3 linked regions of the Ovis aries genome follow. The protein of the gene in region 3 interacts with the protein of the main gene of each other region in a pairwise test. Links are inferred from orthologs where the notes say so. Each region holds a gene or a part of one and is shown on either strand. Other genes may lie near its edges.

Region 1 (3,645 bases), on a different chromosome or scaffold from region 3:
CCAGGCCCTAAAGAGAAGGGAACACTCGAAGCCAGCTCTGGCCCCAACATCTACATGGACTCCCTAGACCCAGGACACAAAACGATGGACGCAGTTTGTGCATCTGTCCCAGGGCCCAAGGCTACTCATACACCAGTGTTTGTCCGAAGGTTCAGTCCTGTGCGGGCACAGAGGTCACGGGCTCCCTTTATCCTGACAGCTCCGGGAACACGGGTGGGGAGGTGGGAGGGCAAAGGCCATGACAGTGACCAGGGGTGGGCAGGAAAGCCTCCCCAGACCCAAACCACACAAAGACGGTAGACAATTCTCAGAGACTCAGGGACCCCTCGCACCCAGGCCCCAGCACCCAGGAGGGAGATACGACTTGGCCCGGGGTCTAGCAGCTGTCCAGAAGGAAGCTGGAGGGCTGGTCCTCCTGCCCTGTCCAGAGCTGCCAGCAGACTGCCCCTTCAGGCTGTTCATCTAGGCAATGCCTCTCTTTCAAGAAGCAGCCCCTCTCAATTTCCGCCTCTTCCCTGAACCTTCCAAGCCCCACCCCCTCCCACCTCTGAATTCCAGTTGCTCTGAGGACCACCCCACCCCCACTTAAGAGTCTCCCAAGCTGACTCCTCAGACTGCAAGAGTCAGTGCTATTAATAATAATGCATACTCACAGCACGCGCTCGTGTGCTTGGCACCACGCTAGGCACTCTACATATACGAGGTAGGTACTATTGTTATACCCATTGTACAGATGGGGAAACTGAGGCACAGTGAAATTAGGTAACTTCCCCAAGGCCACACAGTCCAAAGCTGAGCACCAGGATTCCAATCCTAGCCACTGACTCTGGAGCCCTGGCTCCTAACCACACAACACCTCCTCAACACCATCTTATTCACTTCATATCCCCACACATGTCCCTGAGATCAGCACACAAAACTCCTGCACGTGACTCTTAGTCTCCTTGGGTTCCAGGCTCCGGGAAGTGTGGGTCCCTATTAGGCAAGATGATAGCAAACAGCCACTAGATGGCAGCAAAGAGCCGGTTCCCAGTATCCCAAGGGCCAGGAGGGGTAAGAGGACGGTAACTTTTTCTCTCTTTAGTGCACCTTGCGTCAGGCACTATACAGACATGTCCTCCTCACTAAGGCCGTCCCCCTCTACAGGCAGGAAAGGACACACGCTGAGACAGGGCAGGCAGCGGGGAGCCCTAGGACTGAGGCCAGTTGCCAGGAGGAACAGACCAGGGAAATTCCCTCAGCTGAGGGGTCCCCCCAGGCCCAGGGTGGGCTCCACTCCCCTCTCCTCCATCCCCAGGGTGCATAGAACCTTCCGTCCGGGGAGGGGGTGGTCAGCGCGGCTGCCTCGAGGTGGTCACCACCCAGCAGGCTTCTTGGCTGGGAGGCGTTTGCTGTGAGATGGCAAGGCATACCAACTGCATGGTCTCAAAGACCACCAGAACAGCGCGGACCTCAGACCAACGTTCCTGGCCTTCACCACCGAAGAGGACACCGAGGAACCCCAGAGCCCCCACCCACACTCAGAAGCTGGCCCCAGCACTCCTACCCTCTCTGTCTTGGGCCCCCCCTGACCTGGAACCCACCCCCCAGACAGCTGGCAGGGCCAGAGAGTTCACGCCCACTGGAGCTAAAGAGCTCTGATTGCCCCTGTCTAACCTCCACACCTGAAACCCACCCCCGAGCTGGGCCGGCCTCCCCGTCGGCTGTTCAGAGGGAGCGGCAGCAGAGGCGGTGGGGAAAGTGAGGCAGACACATCACTCCCGGTGGCCGAGGTGCCCGCACAGGACACACAGGTGGGGGACCCGTGCCTGTCCCCAGGCCTCCCACTGTGGCCGGAGCCGGGGGCAAGGCCTCCAGGGCAGCTCGGGGACATGCCATCTTGAGCGTCGGCAGCTGGCAACCGTCCTGGCCGAGTCCACGGAGCCCTGGCTTCACAGCCACGCCCGGGGTGGCATCCGGCCCCTTTTCCCTCAGCCCTCCCGGGGCTCGCGCAGCCAGACGGGGCCTCTGAAGACGCACAGAGCTGGGGTTTATTGGGCTTGGGCAATTGCAGGTTCAGGCAGAATTTGCTCCTGGGTAGAAGAGTCACCACCTCAACTCTCGGTGCTTCGGGGGCTGCCCCATGGGGCCCCTCCCCTCGTCCCTGCACACGTGATGTCACCCCCTCCCTGTCCCTGGTCTCTACTCCTTCACCAGCCGGTAGATGTGGTGCTGAGCCCCGTGCTCGCTCGCTGACACCTCGAAGACGTACGCGACGCACAGCAGGGTCTCCTGGGTGTCTCTGTTGGTGACCACCTGTGGGGTGTGGGAGACAGTGTGCTGTCCGCTCCGCCCACCACCCACCCCCCCACACACACACACCTACCTTCCCACACCTGCACACAGCACACACCTGTCCCCCCACACCTGCACACACCACACACCTGTCGCCACACACCTGCACACACCACACACCTGTCACCCCACACCTGCACACACCACACACCTGTCCCTACACACACATCTGCCTTCCCACACCTGCACATACCACACACCTGTCCCCACACACACACCTGCCTTCCCACACCTGCACACACCACACACCTGTCCCCCCACACACACCCGTGCCTTCCCACATTGGCACACACGCACACACCTGTCCCCCCACACCTGCATATACCACCCACCTTCCCCCCACACCTGCCTTCACACCTGCACACACACACACATCGCACACCTGTCCCCACACACACACACCTGCCTTCCCACACCTGCACACACACACATCTGTTTCCCCACACTTGTCTTCACACCTGTCCCCCCCAGACACCTGCCTTTCCACCTGCTCCCACACACACACCTGTTCCCCCACACCTGCACACACCACCCACCTTCCCCTCACACCTGCCTTCACACCTGCACACTCCACCCACCTCCCCCCCACACCTGACTTCACACCAGCACACACCACCCACCTTCCCCCCACACCTGCCTTCCCACACCTGCACACTCACCTGTCCCCCCCACACACATCTGCCTTCCCACATCTGCACACATGCACGCCTGTCCCCCACACACACACCTGCCTTCCCACATCTGCACACACGCACGCCTGTCCCCCCACACCTGCAGGATGGTGAAGTTCTCCAGCACACTGTTCATCATGTGCTTCTCGGGCAGGTGCCTCAGCTTGTGGATGAAGTTGACCATGTACTCGCAGAGCGGGGAGCGGTGGATGCGGTAGGAGTAGTGGCCGTTCTCGTAGCGCGCGCACTCGGTCTGCAGGGCCGGGGACGCGCGGCTTAGGAGGCCGCCGCCCACCGCCAGCCCGGCGGTTCCCAGACACCACCCGCAGGTGGGAGAGGTCTGGGGTTAAACACTGTGGGGGACTCAGTGCCAGGGTGTTGGCCCCCCAAGACCTGATGTACAGCCGGTGAGAACCACCAGGATGGGGGTGCCTGGCCTCCCACCACTCCCCGGCTCGTGCTGGGCGTGAGGCAGGCTGTCAGTGGTAAGGACGAGGTGAGGGTGAGACTGCCCTAATTCAGACAAATCTAGGGGAAGAGGCGAGAAGCCCAAGCTGGGGGCGGTGTGTGTGTGCGCGTGAGGGGCCAGAGCCCAGGTGGGCAGCATGGCCTACCTCTACTTTCTCCACCACCTGCTTGC
Region 2 (3,645 bases), on a different chromosome or scaffold from region 3:
ATTCCCTTCTGTTATTCCCAAGGCTTAACAAAGTTGTGTGAAACATAAAACAATTTTTTAAATCCTCAGTCAAAACTTCCCTGGTGGCTCAGAGGTTAAAGCGTCTGCCTGCAATGTGGGAGACCTGGGTTCGATTCCTGGGTCGGGAAGATCCCCTGGAGAAGGAAGTGGCAACCCACTCCAGTATTCTTGCCTGGAGAATCCCATGGACAGAGAAGCCTAGTAGGTTACAGTCCACGGGGTCGCAAAGAGTCGGACAGGACTGAGCGACTTCACATACACATACATATACACATAATCAAAACTTTCAAACCATATTAAACTATAAATGAGTCAGAGTCAATAGAAAACCCTATCTCCTCAAAATTAAAAGCATTCTCAGGACTTCCCCAATGGTCCAGTGGTTAAGAACTCACCTTGCAATGCAAGGGTTGTGGGTTCAGTCCCTAGTCAGTGAACTAAGATCCCACATACTGCAGAACAACTCAGTCCACTCCACAACTAGAAAGCCCAAGTGCCACAACTAAGACCAAAAAATATATACATATTAGAAAAAAAATTATCTTCAGTAATAATCAGATCAAGGAGAAAATAGAAATAGAAAGAATGATTATTGAGAAATAATGAAAATCAGAACACTAGGTATATTGCCATCAATACATTTAAAACTGTATCTAAAGTGAAATTAGCAACTTAAATCCTTTAATTACTTCTAAAACATAATCAAAAAATTAAACATTCATATAGGGATGAACTCTTGAAGAAAGCAAAAGTCAGAGAATAATAAAAATAGCAGCAGAAATAAACTTGAAACAGCTCTACAAAAAGTCCAATAAGATAGTGAAACCCTGGAAAGCTACTTTAGAGAAACAGAAAACAAAAGAATAAAATTGAAAATGAGAAAAGCCAGATAAGAATGACCAGGAAGACAATGTTTAAATCATAAAAGATTATATCCAACTGAATATTACTTGAAAACTTTAATAAAGGAGAGATCACTTGGGAAGCTATTTTCCATGACTCAATAAGAAGTAGAAAACCTGCACAGATGAATAAGCAAAAAAGAAAAACCTAGAAGTTATAGAATTATGGGCAAAGAGTTGAAGACCTGTGTGGTTGGTGGATGAGTTCTTTCAAGTCCCCAAACAATTCACAACCCCTGCATCACATGAATGAGGCTGGAACACTGAAAAAATTAAACGATGCTTGATTATCAAGCTTATAAATTGTCATAACTCTGATATCAAATCCCTGAAAAGACAACTCACAGAAAGAAAACTGCAGCCCAGATTCACATAGGAATTAGAGAAAACAGAGTCCAGAGATCCTGAGCGAAGCCCCAGCCAAACAGATCCCACAGCAAACAGCTCAGGCCCAGAACCAGGAGTCTCTCAATGACACAGTGGAACAAGACCCCACAGGCCAGTGGGGGTGCAGCTGAGGGCACTTTGGCCAGAAAAGAAGTGAGGTCATAAAATCTTAACAAAATGAGCCCTTCTTCAATTTTGTTGTCATTGTTGTTCTTAAAAAATAAGGACTAGAAGGCTTTTCCCCAGCACCCAGCCTACACCCCCCACCCCCAATACCTGGACAGACAGGGCTGTCCACTGCCGACCACCCTCCAGAAGGATGAGCGGGGAGGCTGTCAAGGCCAAAAGTCCTGGGATTCCTGAGGAAGAAAGACAGAAACGAGCGTATGAGCTGCCGTTGTTGTTCAGTTGCTAAGACGTGTCCAACTCTTTGTGACCCCATGGGCTGTAGCCCGCCAGGCTCCTCTGTCTGTGAGAATTCTCCAGGCAAGAATATTGGAGTGGGTTGCCATTCCCTTCTCCAGGGGATCATTCTGAACCAGGGATTGAGCCCTGTCTCTTGCTTGGCAGGTGGATTCTTTACCACTGAGCCAGCAGGGAAGCCCATCTGAGAGGCCAACCCCATTTAAAAGTCTGTAAACAGCAGCTACAGAACTGAGAAAACGGGAGAAAGAACTGGAAAACTCAGCAGAACAAAATAGCTCAGGGAGGGACTGGATAGTGAATTCCCTGGTGGTCTAGTGGTTCAGGCTCCACGCTCTCACTGCCCAGGGCCTGGGTTTAACCCCTGGTCGGAGAACTAAGAACCAGCATGCCTGGTGGCCAAAAGTAAAAATAAAAATATAAAGTAAGCAAAATATGATAAGGGGCCTGGATATAGGCTAAATATTTACAAATCAACAGATTTCCAAAACACAGTAACACAGATAACTGAAAACACAGTGGAAAAAGAAATCCCATCCATGATTGCAATTAGTAACATAAAGTGCCCCAGGAATAAACCAATTAATGTGAAAGATTTATGCGAGAAATGGCTAAAGAGACTTGAAGAAACAGTCAGAGCAGCTTAATAGAGGTGCAGGGGACTATCTCACCCTCTGGGCAAATGTAAGAAAAAGAGATGTGAAAATAATTACCCTGCCTTCTGAGCCAGTGATTCTACCTTTAGGGAAACATACCCTAAGGCAATAACTCTGAATAGAAAATGCTTTTGCTGTGGTATTTACTTCAGGGTGGGCTTCCCTGGTGGCTCAGACGTTAAAGCATCTGCCTGCAATGTGGGAGACCTGGGTTCGATCCCTGGGTTGGGAAGATCCCCTGGAGAAGGAAATGGCAACCCACTCCAGTATTCTTGCCTGGTGAATCCCATGGACAGAGGAGCCTGGTGGGCTAGAGTCCACGGGGTCGCAGAGGCGGACACAACTGAGCGACTTCACTTCACTTCACTTACTTCAGAGCTGGAGAAGGAAATGACAACCCACTCCATTATTCTTGCCTGGAGAATTCCATGGACAGAGGAGCCTTATGGGTTATGGTCCATGGGGTTACAAGAGTCAGAAGCAACTGAGCAACTAACACTTACTTCAGGGTAAGAGAAAAGAACTGTCATTTCAAACATAAGGAGAGTTCATTAAATTCCGGTTCATCTGATTCTGGACTATTACACAGCTATTTAGAATGTATTTATGACAATACAGAAGCAGCTGTCTCGTGATGGTAAAGGGAAGAGGCAGAGAGAACACTCAGAAACTACTTAACATCACTGGACACTCCATGCAGGACAAGGCGTCCAGGCAACTGTGGAGGCTCTGAGACGCCAGGGGCTCAGGCACGAGGGTGATCTGGAGGAAACTGGCCTGGGAGGGGAAGGCCTGGGATGGCCAAGGCCCCCACCCCACCCTGTCCCTCAGAACATGTGCACCATATGCAAAGCGGCCCCCTCCCATGGGTGACACCAGCTGTGGGAAAGGTGCAGCAGGAGAGGCCACAGCCCTTTGGAGAGGGTCCCAGTGTCCATGTCAACACTTGAGCTGCACGTGGCCTTTGACCCAAGGATTCCTGGACAGCCCCCGTGAGCAGGGGTACCTGTGAAGCCCCCATGGCTGCTGGGAGATGGAGGAGCACTCCTGTCATGGGGACCAGACTTAAGGGCTGGTGGTGAACCAACAGGGAACAGTGAGCAAGCCCTCCAGGAGATGGCCAATGGTCAAGGACGGAAGATGGACGGCTGGGGAGTCAGTGTAGAATGGCTCCACCCTGTCCACGTAAACTGAGGATCCTGGGATACACATGCAAACAGCCACCAAAACTTCAGAGAGAAGCCAGAGTCGACGTG
Region 3 (4,391 bases):
GCTTATGTCTAAAGGGATCCCATATATTTAACTGCCTCAGTGACCTAACCTCTTCTCACGTGCCAGATGTTAAGATGAAGGAGGAATACAACACATATTCAAGCCTCAGCTATTTAAATGTTTTTATTGAGGCTCACTTTTCTTGCATGGTATTTATTACCAGACTGGCAAGCCTAACTTCTTAGGTTTACAGGAAGTATGCATATTTTTATAAAACAATTGTATGTCCTCCCCATATTTTTGCTGTGTTAATATTTGCCTCTAACAATTTGCAGCTGTTTCACCTTTTCCTCATTTGTCTCTCAGTCGAAGGCCTTGTTGGAGGGGACAGAGCACAGGAACAGCCTTGACAGTCTGTAATTATTGTACAAATATTTTAATAGCATATAAATAAGTATATTCCTTTTATTTTGAAAAAAAAATCAGACACTGCCTTCTGTGTGTTTGCTGCCTGTGGCACCCTTTTTTAAAAAGACTGTTACATATTAAAATAGTGTACATATATATAAATATTACCTCTTTTGCTGTACAGTTGTGATAGACCAGACGGAAGATTTTATTTTTTGTGTGCTTTTTATAAAAAAAAAAATTAACACACTAAAGAAAATCTTGCTGATGTGATTGTAATGTACCTATGTAACTTATTTACTTTTGAATGTTCTTCTGTATCTTTAAACCTTTTATTAAATAAGGTTTTAAAAATTCATAGTTGAATGCTGTGTCCTTTAGGGGAGATTTTCACCATCTAGGATTGACGTAAATTGGCCTTGGTTTGCTTGCAAGGAATTACTTGAAATTTTTGAGCCATAAGCATTCTGTTTTATCAGCCCTTTGTCAGTGATGCCAGGACAGGGGAAATAACACACTAGCGTTTGCCTGGCTACAAAGGTTACTTAATAGATCTAGATCTTACAAAATTTTAGAAGAAAAAGGCTCAACTCAGTGTCTGACAGGAGAACACTGCACACTTCCAGCGTTTTAGTCTTATTGGAATGAAGTTCGCGGAGGGTGCACAGTGCGATCGATCGGCTGGTACTGCATCTGTTTTTAAACAGCAAACTTTGGGAGTTAGTGATGGACCAGGAGACCTGGCGTGCTGCAGTCCATGGGGTCGCAAACAGTCGGACATGATTGAGCGACTGAACTGGACTGGTTGAAGGAGCGACGTGAGTTAAGTCTTTCTTGACAGACTCATATCATCTTCAATGCACTCCAGAATTATATTAAACTTTTAAACACAGTGCTTTGTTTAAAAAGGAAAAAAAATCTGGAAAATGAAAAAGGACATGCGCCATCAGAGGACGCTCCGCGGGCCCTTAGCTGGCACCATGGCAACCGCAGGCAGCCGGAGCGTCAGGGTCTGGAGTCTTCCAGGCCGCCGTTGCCTTGGCTACGCTCGCGCAGGATTCGGCTGCGGGGGCGGGGCGAAAGCCACTCGTCGGCCGGCCCCGCCCCTCGCTGCGGCAGTAACGCCTGGGCTGGCTGCGGGTCGGTCAGGCCGGCAGCCCCTCAACGCCGTTCGGGGTCAGCTCGCCGCAGCCCACGCGCAGCCGCTGCGGCCTGCCTTCGCCGGCGCCGCCTCTAGCCTCGCTCCCGCCTCCTTCCCGCGCCTCGGCTGCTGGTGCTCAGGGTATCCGACTGTCCTCGCCGCCCAGAGAGGTGTACCTGCGCCAGCGAAGAAGCCGCTCTTGGGCTGGCCTCGCTGCGACCTCTGGACAGTCTCCCCCTGCAGGGACGGCACAGTTCGCAGTCTGCAGAGGAGCGGCTCCTCGCGCGCCTGAAGGCCGAGCTCTGACCGCGGAAGCCGGGTTGATGCCAGGAGGGGCAGCAGCGAGTGGTCGGCTCCTGGGCTGCGGAGAACTGGCGGCCACGCCCCGGGATCACACCCCGGCGGCCTCTTCAGAGCGCGGCGTCTCCTGCCTTCTCCTCCTGCCTTCCCTCCGGGCCTCTGCGCGGAGACACGACACCCTGCCTGCAAGTGCGGGACCCGGCCCGCGGACGCCGACCGGAGACACGAGATGGCGTTGGGCGCGTGACTGAGCATCCCCCAAGTTTCGCTCCGAGGACGCGGAGGACGGACGTTGGTGGAGGCAGTGAAAGGACGAGAGCTGGACTCTGGTGTCGTTTGTTAATTGTGATTGCTTGAAGCTTGACTCCCTTGGGCAAATTGCAGGGGAGTGTCCGCTGTCGTCCTAAGTCCTTTAGCACAGGGAGCCACAGTCTTAACTTATCTAACCCCCTGATAACCCAACTATCAGGGGCTCTTGATAGTTGGGGAAAATGGCGATGACACTGTTGGAAGACTGGTGCAGAGGGATGGATGTGAATTCCCAGAGAGCCCTGCTGGTCTGGGGGATCCCGGTGAACTGCGATGAGGCTGAAATCGAAGAGACCCTCCAGGCTGCGATGCCCCAGGTGCACTATCGAGTGCTTGGGAGAATGTTCTGGAGGGAAGAGAATGCCAAAGCAGCCTTGTTAGAGCTCACTGGAACTGTGGATTACGCTGCCATCCCTAGGGAGATGCCGGGTAAAGGAGGGGTCTGGAAAGTAGTCTTTAAGCCTCCGACTTCCGACGCTGAATTTCTAGAAAGGTTGCATCTCTTCCTAGCCCGAGAGGGATGGACTGTGCAAGATGTTGCCCGTGTCCTTGGGTTTGAGAACCCCGCTCCGGCCCCAGGCCCAGATATGCCAGCAGAGATGCTAAACTATATTTTGGATAATGTTATTAAGCCTCTTATAGAATCCATATGGTACAAGAAGCTGACGTTGTTCTCGGGGAGGGACATCCCGGGGCCTGGGGAGGAGACATTTGAGCCCTGGCTGGAGCACGCTAATGAGGTCATTGAGGAGTGGCAGGTGTCTGATATAGAAAAGAGGCGGCGGTTGATGGAGAGTCTTCGAGGCCCTGCTGCTGATGTCATCCGCATCCTCAAGACCAACAACCCAGATATTACCACCGCCGAATGCCTGAAGGCGCTTGAGCAGGTGTTTGGAAGCGTGGAGAGCTCCAGGGATGTGCAGGTCAGATTTCTGAACACTTACCAGAACCCGGGAGAAAAATTATCTGCTTATGTCATTCGTCTGGAGCCTCTGCTGCAGAAAGTGGTGGAGAAGGGAGCCATAGATAAAGATAACGTGAACCAAGCCCGCCTGGAACAAGTCATTGCCGGGGCCAACCACAGCGGGGCCATCCGAAGGCAGCTATGGCTGACTGGGGCTGCGGAAGGGCCGGCCCCTAACCTCTTCCAGTTGCTTGTGCAGATCCGTGAGGAGGAGGCCAAGGAAGAGGAGGAGGCGGCTGAAGCCGCCCTCTTGCAGTTAGGCCTGGAGGGGCACTTCTGAGTCCCGAGAAAACTGACTTTAGTGCAGACCTAGATCACAGCTGCTTTTCGTGTCTCTGTGCTGTCCTGCAGGTATGTCACCTAGTGGTAAAGACTTAGCGTGGTTTTTCTGGGGTAAGTCAGGCCTGCATATTCACGTTAACATTGGTAAAAGCTTGCAAGCCAGCACCAGAGCTGCTGCAGTATGAGTCATGTCAGCCACAATGCCAGGGAGAGACTTGGACAGTGCAAATTGTCAGTGCTGCAAGCTGTCATGGCGTCATCATCATCAGTTGTGAAAACCATGGGAACTCGTGACACTTCCCAGAGGTAACTGAATGTGAAATTGCATGTTCAGAAGTTTTTAGTGCACGGCCTGGCTCACACAAGAAGTGTTGAGTAAAAATGTGAACTGTTGTTATTACTACTATTGTGAGTAGTTTTTGTGTTTACTGTAAATTGTTTCTGATTTATATTAATGGAAAGAAATGTGAATTAGATATTATTCAACTTTACAGTGCAAATTTCTCATTTTTCATCTTTAAACATCTAGATCAGTTTGAGACGTGTTCTGAGGCTGCAAAAGGAGTTGTTAGAAATACTGCACTTAGAGTTGTGTAAATCAAGTTTTCACTGAACAAGATACGAATAGAACAGGGAGGTTAATATGAACCAGCTCAGTATCTATTCCCCCATTTCAAATCTTTATCATTGAAGAAGTTTACCTTGTTCATGCTGGTTCTAAGTGTTCTAAATTTGAAGTTATCAAGCACATGTTTATTAATAAAAATATTTTAAAAATTCTGTTGTCTTGTTTTTCTGACATGTATGAAAACTTTCAGTGTAATTAAGCTCTATGATCTTCTTCGGAAGACTTCGCCATGTCACTGAAAAAAACCCCAAACCTCAGTTCTTTTACTTTAAGCTTTATATCATACTATGTAATTTAAAGTTTCAGTACCTTTCAATATATTCAATTTTTGCATGTTTTCTACCAGACAAGTGTTTGAAGGCAAAATAGACATAACAAATATTAACTTACTATAAAATGTTAGAAAATCCTGAAATGGA

Evidence for each region.
Region 1: the proteins of PNMA1 (region 3) and TEAD4 interact in binary tests that used the Homo sapiens proteins (3 or more experiments, as listed by UniProt). The two-hybrid records come from large-scale screens. The link is inferred for Ovis aries from reciprocal best matches to the Homo sapiens genes PNMA1 and TEAD4.
Region 2: the proteins of PNMA1 (region 3) and SPATC1L interact in binary tests that used the Homo sapiens proteins (3 or more experiments, as listed by UniProt). The two-hybrid records come from large-scale screens. The link is inferred for Ovis aries from reciprocal best matches to the Homo sapiens genes PNMA1 and SPATC1L.

What each region holds. Positions count from the first base shown.
Region 1 is NC_056056.1:212,613,736-212,617,380, forward strand, and holds part of TEAD4 (transcriptional enhancer factor TEF-3), read right to left. Parts: coding exon 3,620-3,645; intron 3,259-3,619; coding exon 3,106-3,258; intron 2,296-3,105; coding exon 2,182-2,295; 3' UTR 1-2,181. UniProt on the Homo sapiens protein: Transcription factor which plays a key role in the Hippo signaling pathway, a pathway involved in organ size control and tumor suppression by restricting proliferation and promoting apoptosis.
Region 2 is NC_056054.1:266,614,687-266,618,331, forward strand, and holds part of SPATC1L (speriolin-like protein), read right to left. Parts: 5' UTR 1,936-3,645; coding exon 1,587-1,935; intron 1-1,586.
Region 3 is NC_056060.1:83,213,286-83,217,676, reverse strand, and holds PNMA1 (paraneoplastic antigen Ma1), read left to right. Parts: upstream 1-1,465; 5' UTR 1,466-2,280; coding exon 2,281-3,342; 3' UTR 3,343-4,124; downstream 4,125-4,391.